2 linked regions of the Tribolium castaneum genome follow. The protein of the gene in region 2 interacts with the protein of the main gene of each other region in a pairwise test. Links are inferred from orthologs where the notes say so. Each region holds a gene or a part of one and is shown on either strand. Other genes may lie near its edges.

Region 1 (6,575 bases), on a different chromosome or scaffold from region 2:
TCATTGGTCAACTTCAGTGTAAACTAAACGTCACGCATTCGATAAGAGTCGCCTTACCTTTAAAATTTAGCCGAATAGAACTAGACATCTGAGATCTAGAATATTAAAAACTTGAAACATGTATAGAATGTAGAGAAAAAAATCATTTATTACAATACACCTAGTTGAACCACAAAACCTACATATTAATTTATCTAACAATTATATTAGTATATGAGTGTCATCCATACGCTGGATAGAAAATCCGGGACCCGACGTTGAAATCATCAAGTACTAAAAATGCCTGCCAAGTGTTTATATCAAACAAACAAGCAACACGCACTTTCACTACTCCAGCAAGGAAGTCGGGTGCAAGTGGGAAAGAAAAACGCAACCCAACACTTGACTTCTTACAACCACAATATATTCAATTCAAACAAAGTAATTTCAAATTTAATGTAGATTATAAATGATTTTTGAACACTTTAAACCCCAATGGATACTGTGGTAGTAAGTGGCGGAGGGAGCACAGTCCAAAGCAAATATACAACTTGACAGAAATAATCGACGCTGGCTTATCCCCTCCGAGTGTTGCAATTAAATAAGTTGTTTTTATCTAAAGTGTGAAGTGTGGGGTTTGGGGGCCGGGGCATCACATAGCATATTTGCGAGTCCACTCGCGCGCTAGCTCGTTGTACTTTTCCCGGTCAGTTTTATATATCCTAGCGATTTCTGGTACTAATGGATCATCTGGATTTGGGTCACACAAAAGTGAGCAGATTGATAAGAGTACTGGAACAAAAACACCAATTACTCATTCATCACCTCCAACAATCAATTGACATAAAAACGCAATCGGCACTTAACTCCCACGCAAAAACTCAACTCAAGAAAAATACAATAAACGTGTTTGCTCTAATACATATTAAAAACAATAACAATTGCAGAGCAGCTAAACACTTTATCCATAACAATTATGACTCAATTCTTATGCTTGTTTCATATTAAATTCTCACTAAATGTGTCAAATTTCACAATCGGCAAAACAATTCTGAAAAGAGAACTGCAAATTTAAAATAAAATAATACGAGTAAAGTGGTTATTATCCCCTCTTTTTAATTACTCAAACCAATAGCTTAACTCTATTTTTGCAGTTGCCAACTTGAAAGAAATAAAGCATCAAATTTTCTATCGTTTAGGCTACGAAATAATTTTTTGATTTAACTAGAAATATTTATTTTTGCTCCGGCCGTAAGACTGGAGACACCGTCTACATGTAAAATCAAATCTAGTTTAATGCAAGATCATTTAAAAATGTAGTATTAGTAAATGAAAAAATCGTAACACCTCATAAAACAAAAATAAATTATACATACATAGCACATATAAAACATAATCAAGAAAACTGTTATCCACCTAAGGATATCGCACAAAGGTTACAAATGTCAAGTCGCAAACAACGTTAAAAGTAAATTTATTGCACTACAGTGCTGTATAAATAATAATTTATTAATCACCACAGGATTTATTGTGTGAAGGTAAATCTGGACAAAAATATAAACAAATATTTTATTATTAAAATTATTATTATAAATTACACCCAAGTTTACGATAATAGTAACGCTTTGCTGCTAATATTGACTATAGCGTTACTCATTATTTTATTACTTATTTGAACAATAAAAACTAAATAGACCGTTACCAAAACAATAACAAAAATTTTAAAAATGCTTTTTATAAGGTAAAAAGTTTGATGATCCTTTATAAATTTGTAACGATTGTAAACAACTAGTTTTGATGTTTTAATGGAATTAAGTTTTTAAATGAAATAAAGCAAAACCAAAGACTTTAATGAATGTTAAAATAAAAAAATGTAACGTGTATGTGACTTATCGTAAATTTTAAAATTATCTGGAGACAAACTAAATGAAGCAGTGAAAAAAGTGAACAGAAAAACTGTAAACAAATAACATCCTTTGAAATCGTATTAATAAACAATGACCTAAATAACATGTGGTCATCTACTTGATAAAAATTCTATTAATTAATAACTTGTAGAAGAATTGATCGAAACCCCACAAGTTGGCGCCACTTGATAATCAGATGCAACGACCTTATGCATGCACATGTGGCATACATTATTAATTATATAAAAAATGACACAAGTATTGGAAAGTGTTTTTGTTACATAATTGCATATAAAGTCTAATTGCTAACACCAATAAACAAAAACACTGATTTGCAAGATGTCTAAGTAATACCTCCTTATTGCTTAACATGTGAAACTTAATTCACTGGCATCCACAATCATTTTTGAAAGTTTCAAGTTGAAAAACTAAAAATTAACATACCTTTTGAAATTGTAAGTGCTGGTGACCACTGCGAACGTAGTATATCAAGACAAATGCTACCATTACTGTTTATGTTTGGATGATAAATTCTTGTAGTAAACGCAACTTTAGGCGGTTTGAACGGATAGTCTGTTGGGAAATGAATTGTTAAAAAGAATACTCCTCCTTGGTATGGACTATCAGGCTGCAAAGAAAAATAATTCACACTTGGAGCATTACTTCCGAAGCCATAAAACGACTCAATGCTATTTGTGATTATGAATATGAAACACCGGGACTAGTTGACTCATTTTTGAATAGAAAACTCAAATCAATAAGTTTCAGTGTTTGCATAAGGTTATTGGATAAATAAATTAAAAGTCTATTAATAGCATCAGTACCGTTATGTACGATCTTGATTTTCGGAAAAAATAAGATAAAAAGTAAACTTACTGGTCCCATAATTGTGGCTTGCCAGTGAAATACTGTAATAAACACAACGTGGTTTAGAATCAACTTTTTGCGAAATTAATCAGACTTACAATCATCTCCAACAGGTCCTGCTGAACATTGTGCGGGAGGATCTCTGCCGAGGTCTTGTAGTTCCTGAAAGACAAGAAAAGTTGAGCAAGAATCCACTTGAACAGGTATCGGGTTAATAATAGACACCTGAAAGTCGGGGCCCTAATATGGTGAGGTTAGAAGCATGAAAGACCAACCTATGCACTTAAAATTAGCCTCAATGAGAGAAACGCATGTTTCTGAGGGAAAAACCGAGCGAAAAACAGGTCTCGATCGGGTTTGACAATCGTTACGTTACATCCGGCATTTTTTGTGCCATTTGATAAGGTGTACGAGGAAAATGGTCAAACTCTGTCACGACCTGCCAAAAGCCCCTCACACGCTTTTCTAGCGCCGAAAACGGCGTGCACAAGTTGAAAAACTCGGGTCATAACAGGATTAACGCGATTCACATTATCGGATCACAAAATCGTTAAGGGCGTTTAACTGCCACAAAAACAATTTTAACGGGACGATCTGCGGCCACATGCGAACATCACTTTCACTGCGAACTTTAACATACCTTATTAATTCGTTTTAAAGCCATTTGACGGAGTGTATGTGTAATAAATACTGGCTTTTCACCAGACAATGAAACCTCGAGCCAAGGACCTCTGATAGGAGATTGCAAAGATGGCCTCCTTCAAAACTCACAGACACCACGTAGGTCAAATGGAGACTTCCGATGATTTTTTACGCGTTTAAACACCACGAGCTACTCGCGACTTGACCTAAGTAATTACCCGAAAATATATCAGTTATTGAAACACTTTGTCTTTTTGATACAGAGTACGGGGATCAACTTTAGGTTCCAGAAAAGATGACTGATCACTTCCGTGGCGACTTAGTCATGTCGGTAAAACAGCTCCCAATTCCGTGAACTCATTACAGATCCGCTACGTTATGACAGCAATTCGCAAAATTACGCTATGAAAAAAAGAGATGGCGTTAAAACTTTTTTTATGCAACACATAATACAATCAAATTTTTTAAGTTTTTTGTAAATTCTTCATTTCCATAAGTGGAACAGCCAAAGATCAGTTTCTATAATTTTATTATAGAACTACTACGTTCTAAGCAATAATGTAAAAAAGGTGTCTCAAATTTAAGTTTATTTGTTGCTCACATTTTGTAGCTACAAAAATTATTGAGAATTACACAAAAAAACCTTATTTATCTTTATCCTGCATTATTTTATATATTATTATTATTATTATCTTTCTATGCTAATTATTTTAAAAAATATATGCAAAACAAATGTCCTACAACATAAAGAAAGAACAACAAGATAAAGCCTTACAGTACATTTTTGTTAGGTGTAATATTTATTTTTTTTATTAGAAAGATAAAGAAGTGTACTTTCAAAAACAATAAACAATTAAAAAAAAAATTACCATTGTATTTTTTCTCAAAAATGTAGCATTCGTCCCCTGGACCCTCCCTCCTAAATTCAATGTAGCATAAAAAATATAAGGATTAGTAATTATTTGGTTTATATCTAATAAATAAGTCCTAGATTGTGATCTAAATTGTACCTAAACTTTAAACAAAAATGCAAATTTTGATCAGTCAAATTCGTCTGCCTTGGATCTTGTTAAACTATTTTTTTTTATAAAATAGTTATTTGTAATAAATAGATGTACATATCTAATTCTCATCACGAATGTAATGATTAGAGCTTTCCTTTCCGATTTAGATAAAACAACTACTTCTTATTCTCTCGATGAACCAGATTCTCATCATTATTTCAGACAGCCTCCGAGACTACGACTATTACAAATATTTTACATAACGCATGACTGCCTTACTTTCGCTTCTTTTTAAAGATTTATACGTCATAGAGACACACCACCATTTTACCAGACACACCTTTCCCACGTTTTTCACGTATAAGTGACCTTGTCAATAGCAAATGAAATATGTGGTCCTCACCAAATATGAATAAATTTGGAGATCGTAAGGTTTTGTGCAATTAATCATTATTGCAATAAGATTGGTAAATATCTTTTATTGATGGAAAAAAACTGCTCTAATTATTGAATTTTTTGTTTATAAATATTTATTTATTTGTTTGTATGCCTAGCAATAATTGTGCAACACGAATAAACATTAAAGAGAATAAAATATGTGTTATTTTATTATTGGAAACTAGGTAGTATGTAGAGAGTTTTGCAACTAAAGTTAGTTAAATCTTTGATTTTATAAACCCGACTCCTAATAATTTCTAAATAGATATACCTCCACAAATATTCCATAATTTATTACATAATTAAAAGTATATCAGTTTTGGGAAACGTCGACTTTTAACATTTTAAATCCTGTTTTAAGAAACATTTTCATAACTGTAAAATTCGTAGGTAAGTATCGTTATTTTTGCAATCACTTTTTAAAATATAAAATAATAACTGCGTGTGCGCAAGTTCAAGATTAAAAACTTGACACTGATTTTTCCTGGTTATGCAAAATTAATTCTAATTTACTGTTTTTCCAAACTTGATTAAAATGATTCAAAAAAGATGAGAAATTTACGCTTTGCTAATCGTTCGCATAATTAAGTGAAAGGCAATAGACCCAATATTTTCATCAAACGACATTGAAAACTCTACTGTTTTGTAATTTTCTCTTTAATTAATAGGTAATTTGGCTGCAGGAACTATTAGAACAATAGTGGTGTAATATTTTTGAAAATGTATTGAACCAAAGATTGTAGTTAATAATTGGTTTGTTATCTAACCTTCGAACAGATTCGTGATACCTTTCAGAACCATTTTCAAATTGTGGTGATATGTAGGTGTAACACAATTCAATTTTTTTGTGGTAAAAATTATACGGAAGTTTATTTTGTTCACTCTGTTTTATCGACCTATTTACTTCAAGACGTAACACAGTCAATTAACCCAATTTTTAAATTCTAAATGCAATTTTTGCAATTGAAATTTTTCTTAAGTAACATTCATAAAAATTCCACCGAATCCATAAATTTCACGAAATTTAATCACATTTTTCAAATTACATACAACTTTTTATTCTTACAACAGGCTTGGCTTTTATCAACAATGAATTGCACTTTTCCATGAACTTGTCATGATATTCCAATGTTTTAACAGTAAAACAAAGTAGGGGTGCCTGTCTCTCCCACAACTTCTTATTTCATTCAGTTTCTTGTCGATCGGCTTGGGTAAGAGTCTTGTACCCAAAACACCATGGTTAGTACTTTTACTTCAGACATGTGCTGCTTGCGAATTGTGTTTGAGTGTCGTGTGTGCATGTGTATTTGGTGAAAACATGAGAATGATGATTGTTTAAGAGCTGCATTTAACTGCATTCAAATTAAATTCTTATTACACAAACTGTATTCATTATTCTGGTTTGGCAAACGCTATTTTAAACCAAATTGAAAAAAAATTGGTTACAACAGTGAATAGTTTAATAGTTTAAACAAATTTCCCGATGAGCATTAACACAAAACTTTCATTTTATTTGTAATGTTAATTTTGTAATTTTTTGGGTCTGACCATTTTTCCAATTTAAGTTCGTAACTACTGTTCGGAAAAAAATATTTTTTTTATTTAAAATGTTAGTATTTAGAAAAAAGAAGAGAACGCACTCTGCCACTTACATGTATTCCCTTCTTCCACCCAAATTTTCAGGTGCTTTTAAAATAAAAATTTATATAATTTAGGTGACAATTATTTAAAATAATTT
Region 2 (6,113 bases):
TGGTAGAATGAGTTATTTTACATAATTTACACTAAGTTATAATTAGTCATAATTAAATATTATTGTTTTACTGATCATTCGCTAATCAATCTGCTATTCGGAAGTAAAATTACCGTTGGGGGCGCCACTGAGCTAGGTCGAAAACAGTAACCATAAATGGCGGGAAAATGTTTATTCGGATATTTTGAGCGTTGTACGAATTTTGGGGCTTCACAATTATTGCATTTCCTATGCGGAATGATTATTGTATCTTTGATGCAAGAAACTTATGTTGACAAATGAGAGATGACGAGGAAAACACGAATAACGAATGACTGTTTGGTTCACTTTCTTTATTGGAAAATTATTATAAAGACATTGAAAAGCCTACCTTTTGGCATAATTTACGTTAAAATGTATCAGCAGTTGTTAATCTTTATTGTAGTTTTGTAGATTTACAGCAGCATTTCATGATTTTTTCAGTGGAAAATTCTAACCTAAAATTCACACACTTCACTAATTTATTGGTTTCTTGAGCCAAACTTTGTGTTCGCTGTGATCCATTACTTATAATCTTTAATTAGACAACTGTTTGATAACACTTTGTAATCAAAATTTAAATATTTTTCACTTTTTATCCACTTTCAAGTTCCAACAATAAACACTTTATACCACGAAAAACTACAGAACCAAAGTCAACGCTAGTATTTACCACCACGTACTTTTAAAGTGATTCTTTCTATTGTAAGTAATTAACACTATACACGCAAAATTGTTGAACAATTCATTAAATGTCAGTTAAATGTGGAATTACGAAAATTTCTTTACTGTTTTCGACATAGTTCAAAAGTCATCACCAGAGGGCGTCTAGTTAATTTTATTTCTGAATTCTAAAAACTAAACAAAATATGTTGAAGGTTGACAATAGTTGGACATTTTGCAAGGCCTACTTGATTAACGATGAAAATTACAAAATAAAATTGTTTTTTGTGATTATTTCAAAAATTATAAAAGATATTTATAGTAAATATATGATGAGTCGATAAAACTCACGATAAATATCGATGTTTTTTCGATTGCCGTTAAGAAAATAGTCGTTCGTTTTTTGAAAATGATACTAACCTTGCAATTTGACAGTTGTTGACAATTTTGAAAATCTCAGACTCTTCCAACCTCTGGTTATCGAATGTAAAAAAATATTCACTTGTTACTGTGTTGTTTTGAATAAATAAAATTTTGAGAAAAAAATTTACATGTTAAAAACTATGGTAAGACATAAGTAGCAACAACTTGGGTAATTTTTACTCATTTTAAGAAGGCGAATTCAAAAATGCACTAAAATTACCTTAAACTCTACACTGGAAATTAAAAGTTTCTAATGTAGGCAGCAATAGAATAACCCTGTATTAGAGGATATATAATTTTAATGAACATAAAACACGTAAAAATACAGGAATATGTTTGAAATATTAGCTAAAATAAATGCATGGTGAGTTATATTTCGAGATTTTGTTTAGTAACTTTCCCATCTCTTATGGACTTCTGGTTTGAGGTTGACAATGTGTACATGTACTGCTTGATGTTTTTCAAACTTTGGCGGAATTGGACACAGTTGGTATTTAACCCTGTCTCCAGGTATGGGAATGTACTCATCTTCAATGCTAAAAATAACTCCAATAGCAAACAAACCAATTTATAAACACGAAATTACTCTGAAATGTGGACGAAAATGTCCTCAGACCCGTCCTCAGGTGTGATAAAACCGTGCCCTTTCTCCCGACAGAAGGACTTAATTTCCCCGTACAAATTCTGGTGTTTTAAGATGCGCTCGCATCTGAAATATATTTTTTGCAATATTTACATTAACGATTATTGACCGACTTACGTAGACGGTGTTCGATTTCGTTTCGTTATCAGCGGACTTGGAATTAAATGAGTATTGGGCCCTGGATGAAGGTTTTTATTGTCGCCACTCGACATGTTGAACAAAAATTGATGAATTCGGCGAAAAAAACGAAAAAACTACGAGAAATGCCGCCACTGACTAACACTTGCCAAATTTGACACAAGCATAGGACACAAGTGACCTTGACACAATGTTGCCAAACATTGGCCCATTTTTTCACTAAAAAAACTTTAGGCCCCAATTTTCACATTAATTGTGACAATTGTCAAATAATTAGTGCAATTACACGTTTTAATTATTTCTTTTAAACCATTTTCTTGTCCATTTGACGTTTGGTTGGCAAAACGTCAAAGTCATAGGTGTGCACTCGAAAAACACAATTTTTATCTCGCTTTTTTTAATGAAATAAAATCAACAATTATAATCAATGAAACAGCACAATTTTTTCCACCATTGCGACATGCGATACGTACTTTAGTTGTGAATATAAAAATAGTTTAGTGCGTTTTAAAATTTACCGACGCCACTGCTTTTTGACAAGTGAAGTTTGACAGTGACAGGTGACAGAAATTGAATTTTCGTCCCAATATTGATTAATCTCACCCAAAACCTTATAAAAATGTCGTTAAATGAAAGGTAAAGACTCATCAAACTAAAACCGCTTGATTAACGTTTGTGTTTAAGGGTTCAGGAAGAAATTGAAGCGTTGGAGGCAATTTTAATGGACGATATTTCGGTATCGTATGGAGACAAGTAAGATTTTGACTGATTTTAGCACAATTATTTGCATTTTTCCCCCTAGTGGGTGTCCCGAACTAGTCAAATCGACGATATTTCCGTCGACTGCCGACGATACTGACAAACAGTACGTCTGTGTGACTTTGGAAGTCAAATTACCGGGGGATTACCCCGATTGTGAGCCTTTAGTTCAATTGAGGAATCCCCGAGGTTTGGACGACACGACCTTAAATCATTTGTATCGCGCCATCAAGGACAAATGTAACGAGTTTATTGGTCAGCCTGTCATTTACGAATTAATCGAATTGATTCGGGAAAATCTCACTGAGAGCAATTTACCAACTTGTCATTGTGCCGTGTGTTTGTACGGATTTTCCGAAGGTGATAGTTTTACAAAAACGCAATGTTTCCACTACTTCCATTCCTACTGTCTTGCAATGCATTTAATCACAACCGAAAAACACTTTATTGAAGAACAAGAAAAATTACCAACTTGGCAAAAAAGCACAACAGGTTTTCAAGCCTCGTGTCCTGTTTGTCGCGAACCAATCAACTGTGATGTCCAAGAACTGAAGAACGCTCTTCCACCGAGAGAACTCGAAAAAGCTCAAAATTTTCAAGTCACCAAAGAATTACAAATGTTGCAAGCACAAATGAGACAATTATTTATCTACCAAAAGAGTCGAGGTGGAATTATCGATGTGGAAGCCGAAGAAAATAAACTACTTCTCATTACGGAATCGAGCGAAAACTCACCGGGAGACGTAAGTGAAAAAAACACACTTTAGTAAACATTTATTTAATAACATCTTATAAAACGTATTATTTCGGCATCAAAACAGTCGTAAAAAAATAGACGAAACAGTTTTCTAACTAAAAAAAAAAAAAAAATTGACACCAAAATGTCACAGAGTGGGCGGAGACGTCAAGAAAATAAATTGTTTTGGTGCCATTTTATACAGGGTGTGTCGCAAAAAACGTCACCTATAACTACAGGATTATTCTTTTTTTGGTCTACACTATTTTTGAAGTCGTCTTCTCAATTTGAGTAAAATGTTTTCAAGTTTTTGGTACTTATCTGTCATAGTATTTTTGTCAAATAAAATGTTCATTAAAAAAGGGTGTTATAACCATTTTTTGATCGTCATATTTTGGGCTGTGCTGTTTTGAATGAACCTCTGCAAATAAAATTTTAAAATAAAATTGACATGTCAAAACTATTGGACTCATTTGAAAACGTGAATTAAAAAATGTAATAAAAATAAGTGGTTACCATTTATAATTTCAAAGTTGGCGCCAAATTTTCATAGTTCTGGAAGTTCAGCCATTTTGAAAATAATTAAGTTGAACTTGAGATAGTCGATTTACAAAATTTCAAGACTCTAGCTAAATTGCAATTTGTAAAGTTTCTAATGTAGGCTTTAAAAGAATAACCCTATATAACTCACCACCACACATTTGTACGTTACGTTCAAATAAAAACACTGTTTAAGTGTTGTGTTATGTCGAACACCTTTTACATTAAAATTGTAATGCAATTAAGTTCAGTACGATTTTTGACATTTCGATGCGGTTCGTTGTTTTTGCATAAAAACTTTGTCCAGGATTCTGGTCCTAGTCTGCCTCCAAGTGATCCACCACCAAATAATGGAGTGTTGGGTCGTCAACCACGAACCACTTCAAGCAGGTGACCAAAGTGTTCAATAATAATAATAATAATAAAAAAAATAATAATGTCAAAAAAAGTACGTGTCATATTACTCATTATTGTTTGTGAAAAATTTTGTTCTAGTGAAGGTATAAAACTACTTTTAGGACTAATAATAAATGTAAATGTATTTTAATTTATTTTATAAAATATTTAATAAATAGAATAGTTCAACGGAAATACTTAATTCCCACTACAGCCATGAATTTCTCAATAAAGAGTTCCGAATCCAAGACGGCTATGTGTGCAGCTCGACCAATCAAAGCATTCGCTGTGTTAGGTAAGGCATGGTGTATGTCATAGCGGACCAAATTCACGTCTTTCTGTGCTATTATGGGTGAGATGATGTTGTGGACCATCTCTCGATAGATGGCGCCTTGATCAGAGGTGTCTTTGATCGATTCTTTGCACAGCTCAATCCGGGCCGAGTGCAACGGAACGTATCTGAAACAATTATTTGTAAGAAAAAAAGTGGCTCCAAAATTTAAATTTTCGAACCTGTCTTGTCCCGAACCGCAAAGTAGCACGTTTTTGAAATGGTGTAAAGTGCTTTTCTGACTCAGTCGGTACAAAAACGACTGTCGAGCGTCGTTAGAATCTTTCAAACAGAGCTGGAGAAGAGATCCTGATTTTTTCCATTTCTGCATAAACCACATTCCTGCAAGTTAATATAATATATAATAAACGTTGCAATAAAATTCCAAAATAAAAAATACAAAAAGAATTTTTTTTAAATTTATTTACCCATATTGACTAATCCACTACTGTTGTATAAAGTGCCCAGATGTGGTCCAGAGAGTGATAAGAAAGTATGCAGTCTTGGTAGTAGAAATTTCATCTGGGGCCTTGTTAAGGCAGATCTAATAATAACGTTACCTAAGGAGTGACCCACGAAGCTTATTCTCGTTGGTCGAATGCTACTCGTGTCTAAATAATGAAGAATTTCGCTGACCAATCTACCAAAAAAAATTATCTCATAGAACGATTGTAAATTTATTAATTTATTATTACCTATCGGTCATGGTATCAAAATCGCTAAAAGTATCTCCTTGATTTCGTTCGGACATGAGAAAGTCGAGATACGCCCCAGGAAGTCCAAGCTCTAGATAGGTTTTAACTAAACGTAAATCAGCTGAATTTCCATCTAAGCCATGAACGCACACAATCAGATGCATTCCTTCAGGCGAAAAAATACGAAACTCGTCGCTTATGTGAAAATAGGGAATCGTCGAAGCGAACGACGTGAAATCGGAATACAAAATACCGGGGAAGTTTAATTGACTTTTGAATTCATTTTTGGAGCGAATGAACGCTTTCTCCGATTCGGATTTCGAGCCTTTGGAGAAATGATGGTATCCTAAAAAGTTATTGTACTAGTAGAAATTAAACTTGTAATAATAAATATTAGTTGATTTAAAAAACGATTTTTATTTCTGCGTTAAAAAAACTTTGAAAAAATTCGCCCAAACAATTATGCCCAAAAATGTGCTGTTCTTGCTTGTTTCTTAAACAAAATCGAAAGATTTAACGCAGTTTAAACTGCAATATTTCCTATTTTCCATCGAGCAACTAAGACAAATTACGCCCAAAAATGTGCTATATTCTTGTTTATTTCTTCAGATATTTACATAAAATTACCTCACTTTTGTTGTAAATACTCCGTTTTTTGCTTATATTTTTAAGGAAACTGATTTTTTTAAAAACAAAAATTTGTCTTTTTCTTAGTTGTCTATTTCTCCTTTATGTAATTTCTCATCCTTTGTTTTTTTCTTTATTTTTATT

The links. The genes of interacting proteins can lie anywhere in the genome.
Region 1: the proteins of E3 ubiquitin-protein ligase RNF25 (region 2) and eff interact in a two-hybrid assay, tested with the Drosophila melanogaster proteins (2 studies listed by BioGRID). The link is inferred for Tribolium castaneum from reciprocal best matches to the Drosophila melanogaster genes CG13344 and eff.

Annotation. Positions count from the first base shown.
Region 1 is NC_087397.1:3,982,062-3,988,636, reverse strand, and holds eff (ubiquitin-conjugating enzyme E2-17 kDa), read right to left. Parts: upstream 3,702-6,575; 5' UTR 3,418-3,701; coding exon 3,394-3,417; intron 2,916-3,393; coding exon 2,852-2,915; intron 2,795-2,851; coding exon 2,763-2,794; intron 2,515-2,762; coding exon 2,331-2,514; intron 772-2,330; coding exon 632-771; 3' UTR 131-631; downstream 1-130. UniProt on the Drosophila melanogaster protein: Catalyzes the covalent attachment of ubiquitin to other proteins. Mediates the selective degradation of short-lived and abnormal proteins.
Region 2 is NC_087394.1:923,889-930,001, reverse strand, and holds E3 ubiquitin-protein ligase RNF25, read left to right. Parts: upstream 1-2,369; 5' UTR 2,370-2,504; coding exon 2,505-2,521; intron 2,522-2,569; coding exon 2,570-2,638; intron 2,639-2,687; coding exon 2,688-3,387; intron 3,388-3,405; exon of another isoform or gene 3,406-4,227; coding exon 4,228-4,314; 3' UTR 4,315-4,501; downstream 4,502-6,113. Other genes in the region: cold shock domain-containing protein CG9705, read right to left, coding at 1,493-1,640, 1,691-1,813, 1,865-1,959; protein FAM135A, read right to left, coding at 4,502-4,775, 4,830-4,989, 5,076-5,287, 5,343-5,688.